Drosophila melanogaster: one gene and its partners. The protein of the gene in region 1 purifies or fractionates together with the protein of each later gene. This does not show direct contact. Each region holds a gene or a part of one and is shown in the gene's direction. Other genes may lie near its edges.

Region 1 (7,698 bases):
CGTCCCAACACGCTGCGATCGCGTGGTCTAAAGTATTGAAAACTTAAACTAAGTGTACACTCTTAAAAACAGTCGAAATTATAGTTCTTAGAGGGAGATTACCATCAAAATTGCCAATCGAAGCCAGCATTGTGGCTGCATTTATCCATATATCATTTATAATTATAGAAATATATTTTAAAAATTGTTTGATAGCCTTAAAGTTATGTACCAATATGAAATAGTGGTATGTTTTCCGATCAAACAGCTATTAAGACTATTTAATGGTAAGCGCTATAAAACCCAATTGATATGTTGCCTTGGCAATGCTAAACAAATCCGTTGTTTTATTTTCTGCATTTTATTAGCATGCTTGTTAATAAGAGATCTTTCAGTTCCTGAGTGATCCTAGCTAAGCAAGACTTTGTATCGGACTACCTATGTTTCGGTTTAAAGCCAATTCAGGTATGTTCGCTAATACAGGTATTTACTACGACCAAGAGCAATATATATATTTCTACCCCCGAATGTGTGACAGGCGGTACACAATTTATTCGCGGAAATGTATTTACATAATGCCTTTCATCTTGAAATCGAATCTGGAACGGGGCTGCTAGTAGAACCGAGACTGTACCCTAAGCATAAAATATGAATTGCACACCGAAACGAAACAGAGCGCAAAGAGGAATCTGCGAGTCGTTAAGCACCAATCAATACTGATCAACATACTTTTGGGTAATGGTTTTAACCGATTTTCACTGTTTCCAGCAGTTTCTTGGTTTTTCTTCTCGCTCCCGTGCAGTGTTGTTGTTGCTGCTTCGAAGTCGTTGATGTTGAAGCATCTCCACGGGAAGAAGCAGAAGCGAAACGAACGAAGAGGAGAAGCGGAGGGGGCGAGGTGTCGCTGTTTTAAGTACGAGTACTGAATTTATTCAATGAACTTTACTCACCATGAAAACCATTCAAAACTCCACTTATTCTGGACCACCAATGCACAAAAACAGTTGGGTTTGTTTTGGCTCAATTGCTATATATTTATTTTGATTATTCCTGCTGATGATCGGCCTGAAAAATTTATATTTTCCTGGCAACACAAAAAGTGAAATGCTGTTTTGTAATTCCTACGCTTGCGAGGGTTTGGTGACAGAAAACAACATGGCTGACACGAAAAGTGTGACCTGTAGTCGTGCAGCAGAAAAAAATCACTCCGAAGACCACGGGCACCCTGTGAGCAAAATATGAAGGGGTTTCTGAAATGCGATTTGGTTAATTGTTAAAAACAATTCTAATTCGTTAGTCACTATATGACGTTTATTTAAAACAATAAAGTAACCAAACAATTACATTTATTAACCTTTTAAATTTTAATATAATCTATGGTATATGTTGATCTTGCAAGATTGTGCTGGAGTATTGAACAATTGAACATTAACGAGTCTTAAATGTGCAAGTGCTACAAAATATTTTTCCCTGTTAATTTAATTGTTACTGCTAACTTAAGTTTGTTACCATATTAGTTGGAATTGCTTATGTTATTTTATCCGAAGTCAAGCGGAGCGCAAGTGATAAGATGCGCCTGTGCGCGTGATGCACAGTGTGAACACTTGTGGTATTTAATTAGCAAACGAAAAGAAAATAACTACGCAGCACTCCCACGCAAATACTGTAAAACATATGTTTCGGTATTTTTTATGTATTGGCACGCAGATTTTAGCGCTTAGTGTAGTTAGGTCACACACCAACACGATTCGTGCGTAGTTTTCATTTATTTTGCTCCGCTTTCCTTCGCTGTTTTCACACCCACGATCCGCGAAAAAAACATCCAGGAATCGTGTTCAAACATTGGCAAACATATTGCGTACCGCCGCGGCCATAAGTCAACCGCTGTAGGCCATTCTTTTAGCCCCAAACAAGAGCGACGACGTCAGTGGGCGACGCGACTGGCGTCAGGTGAAAAAAAGAAAGAAAAACGTATTGAGATTTGAAAATCTATATAAAACGGGTGCAGCGAAATTAAACGGAATTTGCAACTGTGAAAACGCTCTAAAGCGTGGAGAGTTGCATTTGAAAAAAGGTAATTAGCGTACCAATTAAAAAAGGAATTGTTCAGTTTGTGCGTGCAGGTTTTCTGCATGTGTGTGTGTTTGTGTAAAAGTTGTTTTCCCTGAAATGGCAGGTTGTGGATTACCCGATTCGATGACGAAATTATTGAGCTCGTTTTCTGTGTTTTCGTTGTTGTCAATGTACTTTTGCATTGATAAGCAAGGTGTTAGTGTACTTGTGTGTGTTTGTGTGTGCGTGAGTGGAAGAGCAATGAAGATAAGCTCGAGTCTTCTTCTTTCCCCACTCTCCAAAAGGTCGTTTCGCATATGGTTTATTGACGCTGCATATGTTTTTGTTTTTGCCTGAAATTCAATTTACCCACTGAAGCCCCACAGCAAGGCTTCCGACCTCCAACACACCCTGCTCCATAATTACCAACTTACCGCGCCTCCTTTTCCCTCACAATCATCGCAATATGGCTTTTACTCGTCTCTTGCCACCTTTGGAGACTCTTCTTCGCTTGGAGACTTTTGCTTGGCCAATTTCTGTGTATCTCCGCCAGCAGCAACTTGTTGTTGCTTCTTCTTTGTGCAGCTGATTGTGTTTCGCTTAGCCTTCTCTCACTCTTCTTCTGCCTCTTCTTTTGGCCATTTACTTCTGGCTTTCGGTGTCGCCGAGATTCGTAAGCAAATTTCAAGCGTTTAACATTTAACGCTTTGCGTTTTGCTCACAAATTCGAGTTCAACAATGCGAGTATTATTAACTTTTGCACGAGTTCGTGACTCATTCGTTATCATTAACGTGATTTTTATTCCCCTAATGGGAAACTCTTGTCAGCACAACTGGAATACTCACAATATACCATAAGTATTCAAAACATCCAAAGAGTTTTTATATTTGAATACCATTTCTGGAGATAAAATGACTCTATAATCACAAAATATCCCATTTGTTAAAACTAAATCATAAAAAAAGGTGTTTATTACACCTTTTTTTTGTTAAGTTTATTAAGTTTTTAGTGTTTCCCAACCCTTTAGTGGTGAGTCAGTGTTTCGAGCTATCTTGTACTTGATGTTATTAAAAATGATTGGTAAAGGCACTCCTCAAAAAAAGAGTTTTTTTTTTAAATGGTGTTGAATAAATAATATCGGAATTTACCATGGGCGATACCCTTTTTTCCCACTGTTCAGCAAGGAACTTTGACATTTCATTTTACTTCCTGTTCGTCATTTCCGATATTTTCAATTCTATTTCACTTCGATTTGTAGGTTTTGCCTTTTTGGAATATTAGAGTAAGTGGATTCCACGCAAGATTTTAACATTATTCTGTATTTCCCCCCTGTTTCCTCGAATGCTTATCGCATTTCTTGGCCCCCATAATCCTCTTGAACTGCCATATGTTTCCGTTCCACCAGAACTTTCAGTTTATTTGTATCCATTGCACTTTCGGTTATTTTTGTACGCACAATAGCATCGCTGCTCAAAAAGCTCCCCATTCGAGATTATTTAAAAAAAAAAACTTCACTCAAATGGACTCAAGATCTATCAAATATGTAATTCATTCTGCTTGCTTTGCACTCGCCTATTGATTGGTTGGCATTCCCAGGCGGGTGAAATCGATATGGAGCAGTTTGAAGTGACCCTGAGACAAGGTGGAAGGTGGGTGTGGAGGTGGCCATAACTTTCCTTGGCTGCGCCAGAGTCCATTATTAATATTGGATTGCGTGATGATCTAATGCGCGCGCCTCTGTCCCTCTGCTCCCAAAATCCCAACCCAATCCCGTTCACCACCCGCCGCCCGCCGCCAACTCTTTTGTTTGTTTTTGTTTTTGTTCCTGCTGCCGCTCCACATTCCCCACTTTGCTTCTTGCTGACCCAAATCCGTCCAAACATTGTTGCAGTGCTGTCACAAATTTTGGGGCAACATGGAAAAGATTCATAGAACACATATGAACTTATCAAGATAAGAACATTTTCATAATAAACCTTAAAAATCCATATTCCAGGGCAATAAAAACACACAGATATTAATGCACATACATAATGGATGTTTATTTAAAATCATAATTATTCAATGACTATTATTCAACATCTTGCACATGACTGGATTCACAATTTCTGACCAAGCGTGTTGTTTAAACCTTTATATAAGTGCGAATAATTCGAAAGCATATGAAAATACAAAGAAATAATTCACTAATGAATTTAGATTATGAGTTAGGAGCTTGAATAAATCAGGTGTAACTATAATATAGCTAAGAGCGCAGCACAGCAGTGCTGAAATGGGGTTTCGTGTCTCTGAGTAAGAATGTCATTTTCGGAGCAATGTTCGTGTGAAAGTCGAGACGAGAACGTAAACATTTTGCCTGCCTAGCTGTCTGTGCTGAGCACTTCAACTGGCCGCACAATAGCTCCTGAACCTAGCCCAGTTACACCCACGCTAATCGGTCTTCCTCGTTCTGGATTCCATTGCAGCATGAGCACAACCGCCGCCAGTCTCATCGAGGCGGCTCTAAATGCCAGTAGTGGAAACGCCACGGCTACAACTGCGGGATCGCTTGAGGCTACAGGGAAGCCCAACTACGTGGTGCAGGTAAAGAACACTCCGATGAGCACGCCGCTGGACCCGCTGCTCCACGTGGGCGATGGCATCTTCCTGCAGACAAAGACCGCCCAGGTTCTAGCTGGGGTGTGCGTCTGGGCCGCCCTCTTCATCACATGTCAACAGGTGAGTTAAGGCGTCATTGGTCTGAGTTGTGTACTAATGGATATCTTTGGCAGATCTACCAGCACCTGCGCTGGTACACGAATCCACAGGAGCAGCGCTGGATCGTGCGCATTTTGTTCATTGTGCCCATCTATGCCACATACTCCTGGATCAGTCTGCTTTTCTTCAACTCGGATAACGTTTACATCTACTTCTTTACGGTGCGCGACTGCTACGAAGGTTCGGCTGATTTGATTTTGAATGATTTTTGCCCATCGACTAATTGCTAACCCCATTTCCATCCAGCCTTTGTCATCTACAACTTCTTGTCGCTGTGCTATGAGTACCTGGGTGGCGAGGGCAATATTATGTCGGAGATTCGCGGCAAGCCCATCAAGACATCGTGCCTGTATGGCACCTGCTGTCTGAAGGGCAAGACCTACACGATTGGCTTCCTGCGCTTCTGCAAGCAGGCCACTCTGCAGTTCTGCCTGGTCAAGCCGCTGGTGGCCTTCATTATCATCTTTCTGCAGGCATTTGGCCACTACCACGATGGCGATTGGAGGTAATGTGGTTTATCTTTAATGACCCGCGTTATTGCATCTGAAATGGTGGCATAAAAACAACGAGCGTGCGCAATAAATTACCAACTGTAAACCAGTAAATCTGCCATTAAGTAACACTTTGCAAAAGAGAGAACTTATAGGTACATATCATTCCCACTAATAATATCTCCTTATCTAAATTGCAGTGCTGATGGCGGTTACATTTACATCACGATTATCTACAACATCTCCGTGTCGCTGGCGTTGTATGGCCTCTATCTGTTCTACTTCGCCACGCGTGATCTGCTGACTCCGTTCGAGCCCGTGCTAAAGTTCTGTACCATTAAGTCCGTCATCTTCTTGTCCTTCTGGCAGGGCGTGGGTCTGGCCATCCTGGAGAAGGCCAATGTTATCTCGCCCATTGTAGACAGTGCAGGCACTGTTACCGTGGAACCCGGTACCGTCTCCGCCGGATACCAGAACTTCTTCATCTGCATCGAAATGCTGTTCGCCGCCATCGCGCTGCGCTATGCATTCCCCTATCAGGTGAGTTTTGGAATGTCGGAGTGGGCTAGATTTTACGCAGCTATTTACGATTTTTGGTGATTAGATAGTGCTGACTTGAGTGCTTTTTTTCGGTTATTTCGGTGTTTATTAAGCGGCTTTCCTTACACTTGTTAGATATGTGAAAGGTATTCGTGTAATGCTGACTTGGCTAGAAGAAATCAGCTAAAACGAAGTGCTTGCAGTAAAAATAACTTAAATGTTGTATGCTCTTTGTAGGTCTACGCACGCAGCTGCATCAGCGATGGCCACGGACGGTCTGTCACCATGCAGTCCATTTCCAGCAGTCTTAAGGTAAGCTGGAATATTTCCCTGGGAATTCCCGTATCTAAAACTCCCGCAATCCTTCGCAGGAAACAATGAATCCCAAGGATATTATGACAGATGCTATACACAACTTCCATCCGCAGTACCAGCAGTACACGCAGTACAGCTCAGGTTGGTTTTTACTCGCTTTCTCGTCTTTTTAGCCCAACTTCTTCTCTTTGTGCTCTGTGTCTGTGGCATGTTCGTTCTTTTCATCGAGCCTGCTTAACTTATCTTATCTCTTGTGTTCGTCGCTCTCATTTAATGCATTTCGATGCGAATTTCCATTACCATTTCCATTCCATTATCGTTATGTTTTTCACACTTTTGTTTTTCTTTCTTGTTTTCTTATCTTTTGCAGAAGTAACCTCGGCTCAGCGTTACGAAAAGCTCTAAATCAATATCAAAAGCAAAACTCTAGCGATGCTCGCTACTAAACACTAATTGCAATCACAATTCCACATTTCCGAGCGGGACGCGATCCGAAAGCGAAGCAAACAAGTGTACTTATAGCCCTAGCGCCTTAGCCCTAGCTTAATGCCCCACAGTATCCCCCGAAACCAAGCTCAGAGAGGAAGATACGTACTAGGCCTAGTTACTTACTTACTCACTCCACAAAACGCTGAAAGCTGAACAGAAATTAACTTAGCCAGTCCATTGAGTTCAGGGCTTTTAGAGTTGCCTCTGCGTCTGTGTTTCTGTATTTCCTACGTTTACACTCTACACCTAAACTTAAGCGTTTTTTAAAACAACTTATTTAGACGTTAGCTATGTACGAAACGAACTATAATATTGTACAATATTATGTATTTGTAAACAAAGATTTTATTATACTGTATGCAACAATGGCAGTCGCTGAACAGGATTCCCCATTCAAGCGATCTTCAAGCTAGTTTCCCCTCAGCATTTATTTACGTGTTTCCGTTTCGCTCAAAGATACCAAAAACGAAGTTTTTCCTTCTTTTATTTTGATTTCCCCTTTTGACCACCCTTTTGTGATAAGCTCTCGTCGTCCTTCTATTTACTTCTGTTTGTAAATGTTTAAACCAATTGTATAAAATATCTAAAATACTTAGCAATAAATGTACGATAAGCTTGACAACTGTTTGCCTCGCCTCGTTTTCTTCGTTGCATGTTTATTGGCCTCTTTCCAACTATATATATCATATATCCGTGCCTCGATTAAGATTTTTATCGTAGAATTAACTAATAACTAAAATCTTCAGTAACATACTTAATCGAGGAATGGTTGTGACAAGCATGGCATGATCTAATGTTTCTTGTTAATAAGTTAGACCCTCGATCTGTGTGACCCGTAACGATTAAGTCCATTCCCTCCAATGAAACCCGCACAGGTGGCAAGAATTCCCGCGGCATTCGCGTCTCCAGCTACGATCCCGACGATCCCAGCTCGGGAGCAGCAGCTGGAGGCATGCAGGCGTCGCAGCCCACCAGCGGTGGATACGATGCGGTGGCCACTGGACCAGGATCTGGCGGCAACGGCGGCAGCAACTGCATGGCCTCAAAGACGCTGGGCAACCAGAGGAAGTTCCA
Region 2 (4,236 bases), about 18 Mb from region 1:
AGAGGATTTCCGTAGTAATATGATTGAAATGAACAAAACTGCAATCGGCATTGCAGCGGGAGTAGCTGGAACTCTGTTTATTGGATACTGCATCTACTTCGACAAGAAGCGCCGCAGCGATCCCGAGTACAAGAAGAAAGTCCGTGAGCGTAAGAATCCCCATTGCGCCCCAACTGAATTATGAAAGAAACTCATCATTTCATCACTTCCTAGGTCGCCGTCGCAACAAGAAAACCGGCACTGCCAAGTCTGGAGTTCCCAATCTGAACGACCATGAAGCCATCGAAAGGTAGGACACTCCCATGGGAGTCGCATTATATAATGTGGCACGTGTAGTGGTGCCTGGCGATTCAATACACCTCCATTCAAACAAACAAGCCCACATATGTTTCTCCAGCCAAATCGATGTACATATTTTATGTGGAGTCCCATTACACTTGCGTGTTCATCGTGTTGCTGCTTATTGCCTCAGGCATCTAAAGACTCCACTGCCTTGGATTAACAAGCACATTTCAGTGTTTGGATTCTCAGCAGGCTTCCTGCCAAGAAATTCATAATTTGAATATACAAATAGTTATTATTGTTGCAACTGTGCACAATTTATATTATTTATATGCACCTAATTTGCCTGGCATTAATTTAATTCGTAATAGTGTGCATCGAATCAGCTGTTCCAAACTAATTAAACCATGATATTTGCAGATATTTCCTTCAAGAAATCCAGCTGGGCGAGACCCTGATCGCCCGCGGAGATTTCGAGAGTGGCGTGGAGCACTTGGCGAATGCCATCGTCGTGTGTGGCCAGCCGGCTCGTCTGCTGCAGGTGCTGCAATCCTCCCTTCCAGCTCAAGTATTCGCGATGCTGATCGTCAAGATGCAGGAGTTCGGCAATCGAGCGGCCGAGGGCAACGACGGGCCAATCGTTTTGGGGCAGAGCTCGGAGCAACAACTGGACGGAGCCAAAATTATAGAGTGTTCATCTGGAAACGCAAGTATCGACGACCTCGAATAGTACTTGGAGATGGCTACAGAAATTGAGATATAAATTTCAACAGTAGAAATTAAGGGCTTCACATATAAACATTATATTTTTTTTATATATTGATTTCTCTGGATGTTCCCAATACATACAAATAAATATGCGTAAACTGTTAACACTTAACAATTGAGCTTTGTTTTGTGCGTGGTATTTACGTTAGGCGAATATCAAAGATCAACTCTGCAGACCTAAATGTTTTGCAATATGTATGTATAACAGGGTATGTGTTAAAGTGTGTGAAAGTTTATCAACAATAAAAGATTATTAACATGTTGAATATCTTGGGAATAAATACATATATCTCCTAACCGGTTTGATAATAAAGGTATTCCAAAGTTTCTTTGGTATTTAAATATAAGTGATTATTTATAGGAAAAGCGTACTACTGCCATCTAGGCAGCTTAATCAAATGAGAAATGGTTCTTATACACTTATTTAAAGCAATAGTTTGAAAATGCAAAAGTTCCTTTTCAAAGATGATACCCAGTAATTAAATTTACGGAATACCCCCTATGCCATGTTCTAGCCGGACTGCGTAACTCCCTCAGTCCATATCTGGTAACACTTAGAGCTAAACAGCTACGTGCAATTCATCGGATTTTTTTGTATTTTGAGTTGTTACAAATATAGGCACTTGCTTTACATCTTTAAATTTATTGCACGGATTATTGCAAATTCCGTTTGGAGTGCTTTTAGGTACGATAAAACGTGGTGCTGATAAATTAATCCCCATGAAGCCGGAGGACCAGAACAACTTTTCTCAGAATTCGCGATCCTCTCCAGATTCCAGCACTGAGAACAATTCGGTGAGCAATAAGATTTTTCTCGATTCTCGTTACTTACATAGATAGAGAAGAACGTGTGAGAAATTTGAAAATTCTTTTGGTGTATTGATATAAATTCACAAGTAAAATAAAAATCAAAGACACTAAAATAATAATGTCTAATGTCTTTATTATTCTAATGTCTTTGATAAAAACTTTTCGCTTTATATGTACTTCCCCAAATTCCGATTCTAGTGTCTTTGAATAGACTCAGTCAGATCCGATAGTGATCGTAATCATGAATTCATGCACATAGTTCTCAGCGAATATTGTATACTCTTTCGTTTTTCAGAGCAGCAGTGATTCGGAAATGGAATTTGTGGGCACAAGTGCACGGGGAATGCTGAAACATAAGAAAAAAGATGAGAGGAAAATATCGGAACTCACCCGAAAGTTGGCGGAGGCTGAAATAAATCTGAAGGCCCAACAGGAGAAGGGCAGTATACTTGAAAACTGCATCAAGGATAAGGATGATTTTATTAAGACCCTGCAATTGTCGATTGACTTAGTAACGCAAACAAAAGAAATGACCATACAGAAGTTACAAACTCAAATTATGGACTTGCAAAGTGATCTCGACTTGAGTAGGATTACAATTAAGAAGAACGATGGAGGAAATTGTGCTCCAGCGCATGATAAAGTTGTGAAAGAACGAAAGGAGTTAAATATGGAAAATGGAAAATTTCGAGAGGGGAATGATCAGATTGTTGAAATCGAGAAAATTTTGAACTCAAAAGAGGCGGAAATCGCCAGACTAGAATTCAAAATTGACGAGTCGAAGCTAAAAATTGTGCAATTGGAAGGTGCAGTAAAGGCGAAGGACGAAAAGATAGTGAAAATGACAGAGATATTGTCTGAGTATAACGTTAATAATAAGGACCACGATGAATTCGTATTACTGGGCTCTTCCAAGTTGCCTTCAATTAAATTGGTGACACTACCTGATTTCGAACCCTTTGCCTCAGTTTTCGAGGATATTCCTTCTGCCGGTCGTGGTTGGATGATAATCCAGCGTAGAATCGATGGCAGTTTCGATAACGCCACTGAATCAAATATAATAACGGGCTGTGGGGATTTGGGTGGCGAGTTCTGGCTTGGCCTACAAAAATTGCATAAAATGACGACACATCGACGAATGGAACTATATATCCAGCTCGTCGATTTCGACAATGCTAGTGCTTATGCAAGATATGATAATTTTGTTATTGGCGATGAAAAACAGAAATACAAACTGCTTTCCCTTGGCGAATACTCAGGAAATGCTGGCGACGCATTTCGCAGTCATATAAACCATATTATTGTTGGAAATCCGTTTGCAATGGAATCATCGAAATGGTGGGGTACAATGAACTGGTATGTATGAACTTGTTTTTGTTTAATGATTTTGAAAAATAATTCTTTTTCAGTAACTTGAACGGAAAATATCGGAATTCCAAAGTTGAGTTGGACACGACCGATGGCATTTGGTGGGGTAATTGGAATGTTGGTAATAGATATCCCCTGAAGTCGTGCAAAATGCTAATCAGACCAATGCCGTGAGCCAAGTATAATGGCTTGTCAAATAACATTGTCACGGAAATAAAAGTTGTAAAATAATTTCTACCTGTTCATTTTCAGCCTAATTATTGTAGAATGTTAAGTTTTAGTGTCGACCAAAGAGTGGATAACAGGCTTGAAGGTCCTATAAATGCTGTATGCTGTATTTGCAAGTAAAATCTAGCTTCGCTTGGTATTTTTTTTATCGTAATAATACCGACTTTGTTATTTTACGGTCGAGGGAAATTTACATGAAAATCCCACCAGATGGCGCGTTTGATAAAATCGATTTTATCGCAGGAATGCCGTATTAAATTGCCCAAGTTTCTATAAAATATAAATATATTTTGATAAATAGTAATAATAATACATAATAGAAAAAAAAAAAATAAAACATAAAAATCTGCAGAAGGCAACAAATTGCATCTAACAGTGAAGTGGAGCATTTTCCTAGCCTCACAAAATATTTAGCAATAACAAATACATTTGTCTAAAACATGTAACAAGTCAGACATATGCATGTTCTCCGCAATAAAGCTGGGATATTTTTACCAGAGAGGGTCAAAGGACTCAATAACAGAAGGGGAAATAGGGGTGCTCCATGCTCAAGCTGGTCCGGATGAGCTCGAAGTTGCTGTTGGAGGTTGCAGCTGGAGGTTGCAAGCGCAGGACATGGCCCAACTCGTTAGGACCTCGAAACGAAAAGTCGAATCAGTTGAATTTCTGTTCTCATTGACTGCGGTTTAAGTTGCTTTAAATCGCAGTAAACGGTGTGCGTCGTCGGTAGCAATTGAATGAGAAGGGAAAGTATGTTTCAATCGAAAGTCGCGTTGTTCC
Region 3 (6,102 bases), on another chromosome or scaffold:
AACTTGCTCTTGGTCACCGAATCGTTGACATTGATGGCCGGTACGCCAAGACGACCCTCCTTGAACATCTTGTACAGGTTGTGGACACCGGTGGTCGTCTCCTCGCTGAGGCCCTTGATGTTTTTCAGATACTGGGGGAACTTTTCGTGCACCAGGTTGGTCAGATCGCCGCCATCGTCCAGGATCATGTTCAGGGGCTGGCCGTCGGGGAAGACCAAGGTCTGCTCGATGCACCACATGTACTCCTCATCGGTCTCACCCTTCCAGGCGTACACGGGCACGCCGGTGGCAGCGATGGCCGCGGCAGCATTATCCTGGGTGCTGAAGATGTTGCAGCTGGACCATTGGACCTGGATAAAAGAATGAAAATGTAGTTCATGCGTTGAAGTTGAGATGTGGATGGGAAGGAACCTAAATTATATAGATATTTGCAAACTGATTTGCATTGCATATAGGATTGATCTATATCAGGAAATCTATGTATTTCAGGACATCAGCATTTGGCAGAAAATAGTTGCCATGTGCGAGGATTGAAGCAGATGGTGCTGCGTCAGAGGAAATAACAATCTGGAGGTCTTATCTTGGGCGCCTTGAACTTGCCCCCCTGCTGTTAAACGAAAGTTTTGTTATTCAAATTGGTGCGTAAACCAAAGGTGATAAGGGACCAGCCCTTGGACAATGCTTGGAGATACCTATCTTTCTACCTAATTTACAATTTCCTTACGGAATTTTGGTCGGTTTTATGGTTTTTGAAATGGTTTTTAGTATTGAAATGATGCTATCTTTGTGTATTATCCCGACTGTTCAGACCTACAGTTGGGCATACAATTCGAATGGTGGTACGATGCATAAAATCATTTAGAGCGCCAAAGAGGCACTGAACCCACCTGAGCGCCCAGTTCGACGAGGGTCTCGATGAGCACGGCGGTCTGGACGGTCATGTGCAGGCAGCCGGTGATGCGGGCGCCCTTGAGGGGCTTAGATGGGCCGTACTTCTTCCTGCAGGCCATCAGACCGGGCATCTCGTTCTCCGCAATAATGATCGCCTTGCGTCCCCATTCCGCCAGACTGATATCGGCTGTCGAGTGGGATATAAAAGGGAGATAGGGTCAGATAAGCAGGCACTGTTGATTTATACACCATACGGTCTGAATTTCTACGTTTTTTGCCCCAGCAACAACGTGCTCTCCTCTGTTTTGTCTCTCTTTTAACCTCAGAAACATGTGCTCATGAATAGATGCAATTCACCCGCACATGTCGCCTGTTGCCGGCCGGAGATTCGATTCGAGAGTTTGCCATCCGTTTGGGTTTATTTATAACGCAACTCACCGACTTTGTAGCTGGGCTTCGACATTCTTGCAAGGATTGGATGTTTGACTTGGATGCGGAGCAGACAGAATCGCACACAACCGAATTGGAGACGCGGGCAGCGGTAAATGAATCGAATCGCAACCCAAGACACTAGAATTCCAATTGCGGAATGGCGGCCCCAGGGATGGGAACTGGTTCCACGCAGCTGGTTCAGCTGGAGCAGTTCCGATTGGCACGATTGTTGCCATTTAAATTTAAAATTCATATGATAACTGCTGGTTTACATCCAATTGTATATAGAATCTTTTCTTTTTGCTATCATTTTAATAAAATGTATTAATAGGTCCTAAAAAATCAGACCATTGTATACCAGTTATTCACATTTTTCAGAATTCTAGATTAATGTTAAATGTGTTAAATAATAAGTTTTTCTGCCAAAATGAATTTAATATGTAATTCAAATAACATTAATTCTTTAAAGTAATTCTTTCGATATTTGAGGCCTACACTTTGATTCCCAACGAAAGCTTATCGATGCTGAACCATCACTAAAACCGACATCGATAACTGAGCAGAGTCTTAGGGAAAATATACACAGCGAAAAGCAAAGTGCGAGTCAGTGCGTTTTTCTGGTCATTGAACAGCCGTATCCAAAGTAGAATTCCCATGTCCGGCTCCGGTCTCGACGAGAATCCCTTCGGGGAGCCCAATCTGGACAATCCGTTTGCGGTGAGGCGATAGAAGAGCTAGGAGAGAGAGCGCGGAAGCCGAAGAAAAAACCCATCGCACACACACGCACACGTACGCAAAGGTGGGGTGTTGGTGTGCGTGCCTGTGAGTGTAGTGTGTGTGTGTGTTGGGTGCATTCGTCACATATGTTGAATGAATTGGTTTCTGATTGGGATTTCCCGGTTTTCCCCCGCAGGACCCCGCCATCCAGCAGGCACGACGACTCCAGAGCGGCGCCGCCCTTGTCTCTCTTGAGGATTACAATCCATTCGAGGAGCAGGCCAAGCCGCAGCTGCAGATCAACTCAACGAACACGGCGGCGGTGGTCCAGCCGCTATCGCAGAACATTCCGCCCCCGCAGACCAGTTCCCTGGGCGCCTCGGCGCCTAGCACCAGCATACAGATCACCTCGGAGGAGCTGCAGGTAACCCACTTGGCCGGTCGTCTCGCGTTACCGCCCACACAACAGTGAGCACTCTGCGGTGTGCTGTGCCGGCATGGCCACATCCGCAATACTCCAAAAACCGCATATGTACATCCAAATACTCGGAAACAATCGAAATGGACCACACCACACAGTTACACTAAAAGTTTGCCCTAAAAGTCTGTACAGTAATCACTTTGCTAGAGTGCCGGGATTAGGGCAGGCATATCACATTTTACTCTCCATCAAGAGTCAGAAAGATAAGCGGGCTTATCTCGATCTGCCAACGATATATCCGCTTTGGAGCATTTATCTGGTTGAGACTAGAAGCGGCTGCCGCGCCGAGTCTTCACTGTGCAAACTGCGGTTTCTCTTGATTTACTTGGCTTCTTCGGCCCTACACAATAATTCAAGAAATACTAGTTAGTAGATCTAAATACATATGATTTGGAGGCTTAAGTTTGCACTTTATTCTTGTACAGAATATTTCCTATAGATAGGCCAAATGCCTGAGGTTAAGATAGAAGTTTAACAAACTCAAGATTTGGATGTGAATTCCTATCATTGAATTTCGCCTTTGTTTTCCCAAATATGTAAATGAATAAGATTTAAAGTATTTACCATATACGGCCAATTTATTAAGTCATACAAAATGTATATATAAAACAGTCGATAATCATATGATTTTCATTGTATCCAGCGCCGGCAGGAGGAGTTGGACCGCAAGGCCGCCGAACTGGACCGCCGCGAGCAGCAGCTACAGGGCAATGTGCCGCAGCTGAACAACTGGCCACCGCTGCCGGATAACTTTTGTGTAAAGCCGTGCTTCTACCAGGACTTCGAGGTGGAGATACCGCCCGAGTTCCAGAAACTGGTCAAGCGATTGTATTACATTTGGATTTGTGAGTATTGGTTCTTTATGGCTGTGTTTTCTACATGTTTTCGCTGATAAGCGGTGCCATAGGTTGTGGAATTAGTCATCGCGTGTCGTCTACAGGCCGATGCCATTATTAATCAGATATAGCTGAATGGCTAATGGTCTTGGATGTGTGCGTGCCTTTGTGCAGAATATGCTTGCAAAGAGGGGAGCATGAAATTTGTTTGATTTACATGTTATCAGTATTAAGATAGTTTTTAAATGCATTTCTAGCATTATTTACTGCATGCATAGTATATAGTATATAATAATGCTTTCCCCTACAGATTATAGCATTATGCTGATTGTATGTGTCTATTTTGAATACTTTCTCCGACAGTTTACACCATGACGTTGTTGGCCAACGTGATAGGCGGTCTAATTTTGCTGTTCCACGCTGGCGAATTCGAGACCTTCTTCCTGGCCATCTTCTACACGATGCTCTTCTCGCCCGCCTCCTATGTCTGCTGGTGAGTTTATACCTGGAAGATTCTTAAAACATGAATAATGTGATGATGTGTGATTAATTTTCAGGTTCCGACCGGCGTACAAGGCATTCCGCAACGATTCGAGCTTCAACTTCATGGTCTTCTTCTTCATCTACTTCTTTCAAACGCTGTACTCGATTGTGCAGGCGGTGGGCTTCAACAAGATGGGCTACTGTGGCTTTATTACGGCCATCGGGCAGTTCGATGGGCAAGCGTCGGGTATTATCGTCGGCATTCTGCTGTTGAACGTGGCATTCTGTTTCACAGCGGTGGCCGTGGCCAATGTGCTGATGATCACAAAGATTCACTCGATCTACCGCAGCACAGGGGCCAGTATGGCCAAGGCCCAGGCGGAGTTCACCACCGAGTTTCTGCGCAACCAGCACGTCCAGGAAGCAGCCTCCTCGGCCGTTAATACGGCCATCAATTCGCAGTTTAACAACAGCAGGTACTAAGTGACACTCTGCTTTCCGGGGATCTAATCAAATCAAAAGGAGAATCAATCAATCAACCACGAACTCAAGCAGCACTCATCCTGCTTAACTGGGACAGAAAAAGATGATGATAGCCGCGCCAGAGAGAGGGAGATGGAGAAAGAACACTTAATAAACATTGAAATAGCTTAACACGAAATGAAAGTAAAGAAAAACATGAAACTAAAGCTAGCATTGGAGCATGGAACTAATAACTATTTGCTTTTGTGCATAAACAATTCCTAGAATGCCGTCGTCTTTATTACAAATAATTACTGTAATGATAACACAGAAACAACACACAATGCATAAACAATATTTATAAACGGAACAAAACCGAACTTGGAACTAAACTGAAAGTGAAAAAAAAACCAAACAAAAAGGAGAAAACAAAAAAACAAAAGGAAAACTAAAGCGGCCCACGATGCCTTCGACACGCAGCTGCAGCGGATCAAGTAGACAGGACATCTTAATCGCACGATATATGCCTCCAAATACAAGTATCTAGACTAAATTATTGTGTGTCTGTCTCTGTCCTGTGGAATAATTCGATTCTGATACTAACCCAGATTAATCAGGCGAAAGGGATGACACTGATGACGATGATGCTGCTGCTGCTGCTGCTGATGATGATGTTTTCTAGTTCTTTAAGTCATTAAAACGATATAGGAATAACCCCACTCCCTCGCACACGCAACACACACACACACACACACTCACATATATACGATCTTATATATATAACAAACATAATATAAATAATATATTTAACGCTTACATTATAGAACTTTATCTCTCGTCGCCTCGACCAGAGAGACAACAAGAAAGCGAAATTCATTTTTCATCCAAGCTGTGCTCCTACGCCCACTGCTCCACTGTCCCCCTCTCCTCCCTCCCCCCTGTTCCATGTCCCGACCCCCTTTTTCCGCCGTCACTGTCCTGCACTCACATAAAATGTCGTGTTTTTTTGTAATCGTAATTGTTATATATTATCTATTATCTATGTACATGAAGACAGCATATAAAATATATTGATTCACTTAAGTATTCACATTTTTTAGATACATTTTGTTCGTTTCTGTTTTGCTTGCAAGTCAAACTTATTATGTTACGACCTATTTAAAACTGAATTGAGAATAGCTAATGACGATCTATGGATGTGTATTTAAAATTCAAGCAAAATTTATGATAAATTCCAAAATAAATATAAAATACTTATAGATGTACAATAAGCATTGATTTTGAATTTATGGGTTGTTTGGTACTCATTTCTAGAGAATTCAAATGCATAATTTGGTGCGTAATTAAAGGGGTATAAAGACTTTTGAGATATTCATATTATTTATCTGCAAATCCCAGCCTTGAAACGCAATAATCAGGCTTAAATTCTTGGTTTATTACTGCTGGTTATCTGCATGGAGGTATTTACACAATTTATATAATAGATAGAACTGCCATCAATGCTTGTGTTTATATTAGTCAGTTTGCTTATAGATTTTAATCTTGAGTTTGTTTTGTATAAATAAATTCCAATAAAATTGAAAACCCCACAAAATGACTGGCAAATAGTTCGGATTACCGCCATAATCGACTCTTAATTAAGAGGAAATGTACAATGTCATTTAAAAGTGCACGAAGACCTTTGATTTCGAGAACTCATTCGATGGAAAATCAATTAGCAAGAAGAAAAGTTTACGTAAGCCAGTCGGTAATTAAGACGATTGAACATGGTCGAAAGTGAATGTTCCTGGAAATGCATAG
Region 4 (3,345 bases), 1.8 Mb from region 1:
TTTACGTTTGAAATATTAATTAGTTTTATATTTATAGTGCCAATTGTAATCCTCATTGAGGATCTGGAGCTGCTCTGCCCCTCAACGGCTGTCGCAGATGCAAAAAACTCTAGCAATAGCCTACGAATTTCAGCTGAGCTCTACAAACTGCTAGACGCACTTCCTCGAGGCATCATATGTCTGGCAACTTCTGGTGTCCCGGACTCCTTGCATGAACATGCGCGCAGGCGGTTCGTCCGAGAGGTGACCATTAATATGCCCAGCGAAGGGCAGCGCAGACAACTCGTAGAGCATCTCTGCGAAGTACACGAGCTGAATATCTCACAGACTTTACTCGAGCATATAGCGAGAAACACTCAGGGATATGTGATAGCGGATTTAACACTACTCCTGCGCCGCGTTCAACAGCAACTCTTAACAAAAGACGACTTCGACATAGAGCACATTTTCCTCAAATCCCTGTCACAAACTCAACCGAGTGCATCTCGATCCACAGATGTGCGGGTCTCGAAGATGACGGCTGGGTTTGAGGTTATCGGAGGCATGGAAGCACTGAAACGTACCTTGCAAGTCTCCGTTCTAGCGGGTATAAGACAAAGTGCCGCTTTTGCTCGATTCGGACTAAGTTTGCCCAAAGGAGTGCTGCTCTATGGACCTCCAGGATGTGCCAAGACCACCGTAGCCAAGTGCCTGGCCAAGGAAGCTGACATGACCTTCATTGCTACGTCGGCGGCGGAGGTGTACTCTCCCTACGTCGGTTGCGCGGAAAGATTTATATCGCGAATCTTTGACACAGCGCGAAAAAATGCACCCTGTCTTATATTTCTAGATGAGATAGGTGAGTCGGATAAGCTTAATTTGCCATAAAAATGATTAATCCACTTAATTTTATAGATTCGCTTGTTGGCAGAAGGACGGTCTCAAGTGGCGGAGGTGGTGGACAAGTTCAGCTGAGGATTCTCTCCACGCTGTTGACCGAAATGAATGGCATTGTGGGGGGTGGTAGTCAGCAACATATACTTGTCGTTGCAGCCACCAATCGACCGGATATGATCGATGATGCCCTACTGCGACCAGGACGCTTTGACAAGCTTATCCATGTACCAGCCCCAGATGAGAAATCCCGCCTGGCTCTGCTAAAACTCCACTCCCAGCGCATGCCTTTCCATGAAAATGTGTTTCTCCAGGAGATTGCTGCCCGAACAGACCGGTATTCTGGAGCGGATCTGTGTAATCTCTGCAATGAGGCGGCTATCGAGGCTTTTCAACGTGACTTTAAGGCCACGGAAATTGAGCTACAAGACTTTGAAAAAGTTCTGACCAAGCAGAAATCCTCGCTCACTCAAAGCCAAATAGATGGCTACTATAAGTTTGCTTATAGGTTCTTATAGAACAAGATGTATGTGCAGTTGCATTTGTTAGTTTTGCATAAATAAATGTATTTTAAGATGTTAAATCGTAGAATTCTTTGCTCAAATTCAAACTACTGATTTACGATATGTACTCCCGCGACCACGATTACCAATCGATAGAATAGTCGCAGTCAGCTGTTGCAACGATAACTGATTGCGGCAAAACAAAGAAAACGCAGAGAAAAAGTTAACGCAATTAAACGTAGTAAAAAAGCCTAGACTATTTTCATAACAAGAAGCAGTGAGTCACAAAAAAAAGCTTTCCGGCCACAATGGCAGATACCCGTAAAGACGCCGCGCCGCCGAGCTACGAAGAAGTCATGAACAGTCCCTCGCAGGGTAAGTAATAGGCTCACTAAAGGCATCCAATTCAATGCACATCTTTTTTAGATTCCCGGCTGATAGTGGGCGTGCATCAGGGAGCACCTAGTGCTCCGCCACCAAACATGCACATGCCAACCTACGGAGCTTTCGAGACGACGCCGGTCAGCGTGGTGATTCAGCCTGCTCCGGTCGCTATGCCCACCGAGATCATCGTGATTGGAGGATGCCCTGCATGTCGGATTGGATACCTGGAGGACACCTTCTCCGCCTGCGGACTGTGCTGCGCAATCTTCTTCTTCCCGCTGGGAATTCTCTGTTGCTTGGCCATGCGTGAGAAGCGCTGTTCCAACTGCGGAACGGTTTTCTAGAGGGGATTACCCAGAAATTATCCATAAAGAAACGCTAAAAGTTGATCCCTATTAGGCTTTCGCGGTGGGTGACTATCACAAAGCACCAATATTTTTGTTATTGTTAATCGTTAGCTCGCAAATCATTATATACTATGTGTAAATATTATTCATGCCAGCCTGCGGAATGCCCCCGATTCCATTCCAGTCCCTGTCCGGAGAATGGTCATGTACAGTGAAATATGCTAAACTCGAATTCAAATCAGTAAGCCCAGTTATGAAAAAAATGCTAAAAAAAATCAGTTGAACATGTTTTCCAATTGAATAGTGATTTGGCTTTTTACAAGGATTTTAAGTAACATAAGTTTTAAACTGCAAACAAAAGAAAAAATATTTATATATTTAAATAAAAGGTTTACAACATGTTTATTATATCTTAGAGTAATGGTACGCAGATATAATGACTTGGACGGTTTTAGATATGAACTAGGTTGTACAAAACTTCATTAGTTCTTGATTTGTGAATAATTTGACCCACTGTTGCATTTCGTGATTATAGAACTTTTACTGTACTTGTAAAATGTGCACTGTAAGCGTCGACGAGGCGCGCTTCCGTTAAATTCAATTGAAATATAATGGAGGGCGGTTTTGAATTGCGCCGCCCGTCCGATTTCTCTTCTCCATGCTCTTTGGACTTTACCGCGCAAAACAGTAAACAAGTGAAGTGTTTTAAATGAATTTGGGAATGACATAAATATACCCTTCAAATGCATCAGGAGATTAAAAGAAAAACCCTTCAAAACGCCATATTTTAGATATTTGAATTTTTGAATATATATAGATTACTTGATTTTCAAAATTTTTATAAAACCAAATGTATGAGCCGCTGATATACCCCCTTATCAGATTTCATGGGCACAGGGTAGCACAACAAATTCGCCGGCATCCACATCCGCCGTGTCGGCATCTTCGAGTCAACAGTTGTGAGCTTCCTTCGCCGTAGACATGATCACTGCTCGTCTCCTGCTCTCGCTGATGATGCCAGTGCTGCTGGACGCAGCTGCTCCGCCACGACGGCCGAATGTGGTGATGGTGATCTTTGATGATCTGCGTCCAGTTATTGGAGCTTATGGCGATACGCTGGCCAGCACGCCGTATTTGGATAACTTTGCTAGAGGAAGTCACATCTTTACAAGAGTTTACAGCCAGGTGGGCAGCCTGTGATCATTGATGTGCGGACCTAATAAAACACATATATATTG

Evidence for each region.
Region 2: the proteins of Tmep (region 1) and CG7668 purify together in Drosophila melanogaster (affinity purification with mass spectrometry, with the first as the bait; one large-scale study listed by BioGRID). This does not show direct contact.
Region 3: the proteins of Tmep (region 1) and Scamp purify together in Drosophila melanogaster (affinity purification with mass spectrometry, with the first as the bait; one large-scale study listed by BioGRID). This does not show direct contact.
Region 4: the proteins of Tmep (region 1) and CG12012 purify together in Drosophila melanogaster (affinity purification with mass spectrometry, with the first as the bait; one large-scale study listed by BioGRID). This does not show direct contact.

The regions. Positions count from the first base shown.
Region 1 is NT_037436.4:1,567,489-1,575,186, forward strand, and holds the start of Tmep (transmembrane endosomal protein), read left to right. Parts: upstream 1-1,692; 5' UTR 1,693-2,053; intron 2,054-4,412; exon of another isoform or gene 4,413-4,497; 5' UTR 4,498-4,498; coding exon 4,499-4,750; intron 4,751-4,803; coding exon 4,804-4,969; intron 4,970-5,035; coding exon 5,036-5,294; intron 5,295-5,480; coding exon 5,481-5,820; intron 5,821-6,057; coding exon 6,058-6,132; intron 6,133-6,191; coding exon 6,192-6,276; intron 6,277-6,505; coding exon of another isoform or gene 6,506-6,540; exon of another isoform or gene 6,541-7,244; intron 7,245-7,499; coding exon 7,500-7,698. Other genes in the region: CG12003 (uncharacterized protein), read left to right, coding at 1-39.
Region 2 is NT_037436.4:20,001,148-20,005,383, forward strand, and holds CG7668 (uncharacterized protein), read left to right. Parts: upstream 1-1,588; 5' UTR 1,589-1,770; coding exon 1,771-1,845; intron 1,846-2,155; coding exon 2,156-3,216; intron 3,217-3,269; coding exon 3,270-3,402; 3' UTR 3,403-3,687; downstream 3,688-4,236. Other genes in the region: Tom20 (translocase of outer membrane 20), read left to right, coding at 20-149, 214-289, 703-1,012.
Region 3 is NC_004354.4:15,445,643-15,451,744, reverse strand, and holds Scamp (scamp), read left to right. Parts: upstream 1-1,861; 5' UTR 1,862-1,977; coding exon 1,978-2,040; intron 2,041-2,236; coding exon 2,237-2,464; coding exon of another isoform or gene 2,465-2,512; exon of another isoform or gene 2,513-2,886; intron 2,887-3,164; coding exon 3,165-3,366; intron 3,367-3,720; coding exon 3,721-3,850; intron 3,851-3,914; coding exon 3,915-4,323; 3' UTR 4,324-5,566; downstream 5,567-6,102. Other genes in the region: Ahcy (adenosylhomocysteinase), read right to left, coding at 1-350, 888-1,078, 1,330-1,354.
Region 4 is NT_037436.4:3,375,197-3,378,541, forward strand, and holds CG12012 (uncharacterized protein), read left to right. Parts: upstream 1-1,560; 5' UTR 1,561-1,684; coding exon 1,685-1,751; exon of another isoform or gene 1,752-1,802; coding exon 1,803-2,104; 3' UTR 2,105-2,796; downstream 2,797-3,345. Other genes in the region: CG12010 (uncharacterized protein), read left to right, coding at 38-838, 895-1,391; Ids (iduronate 2-sulfatase), read left to right, coding at 3,089-3,292.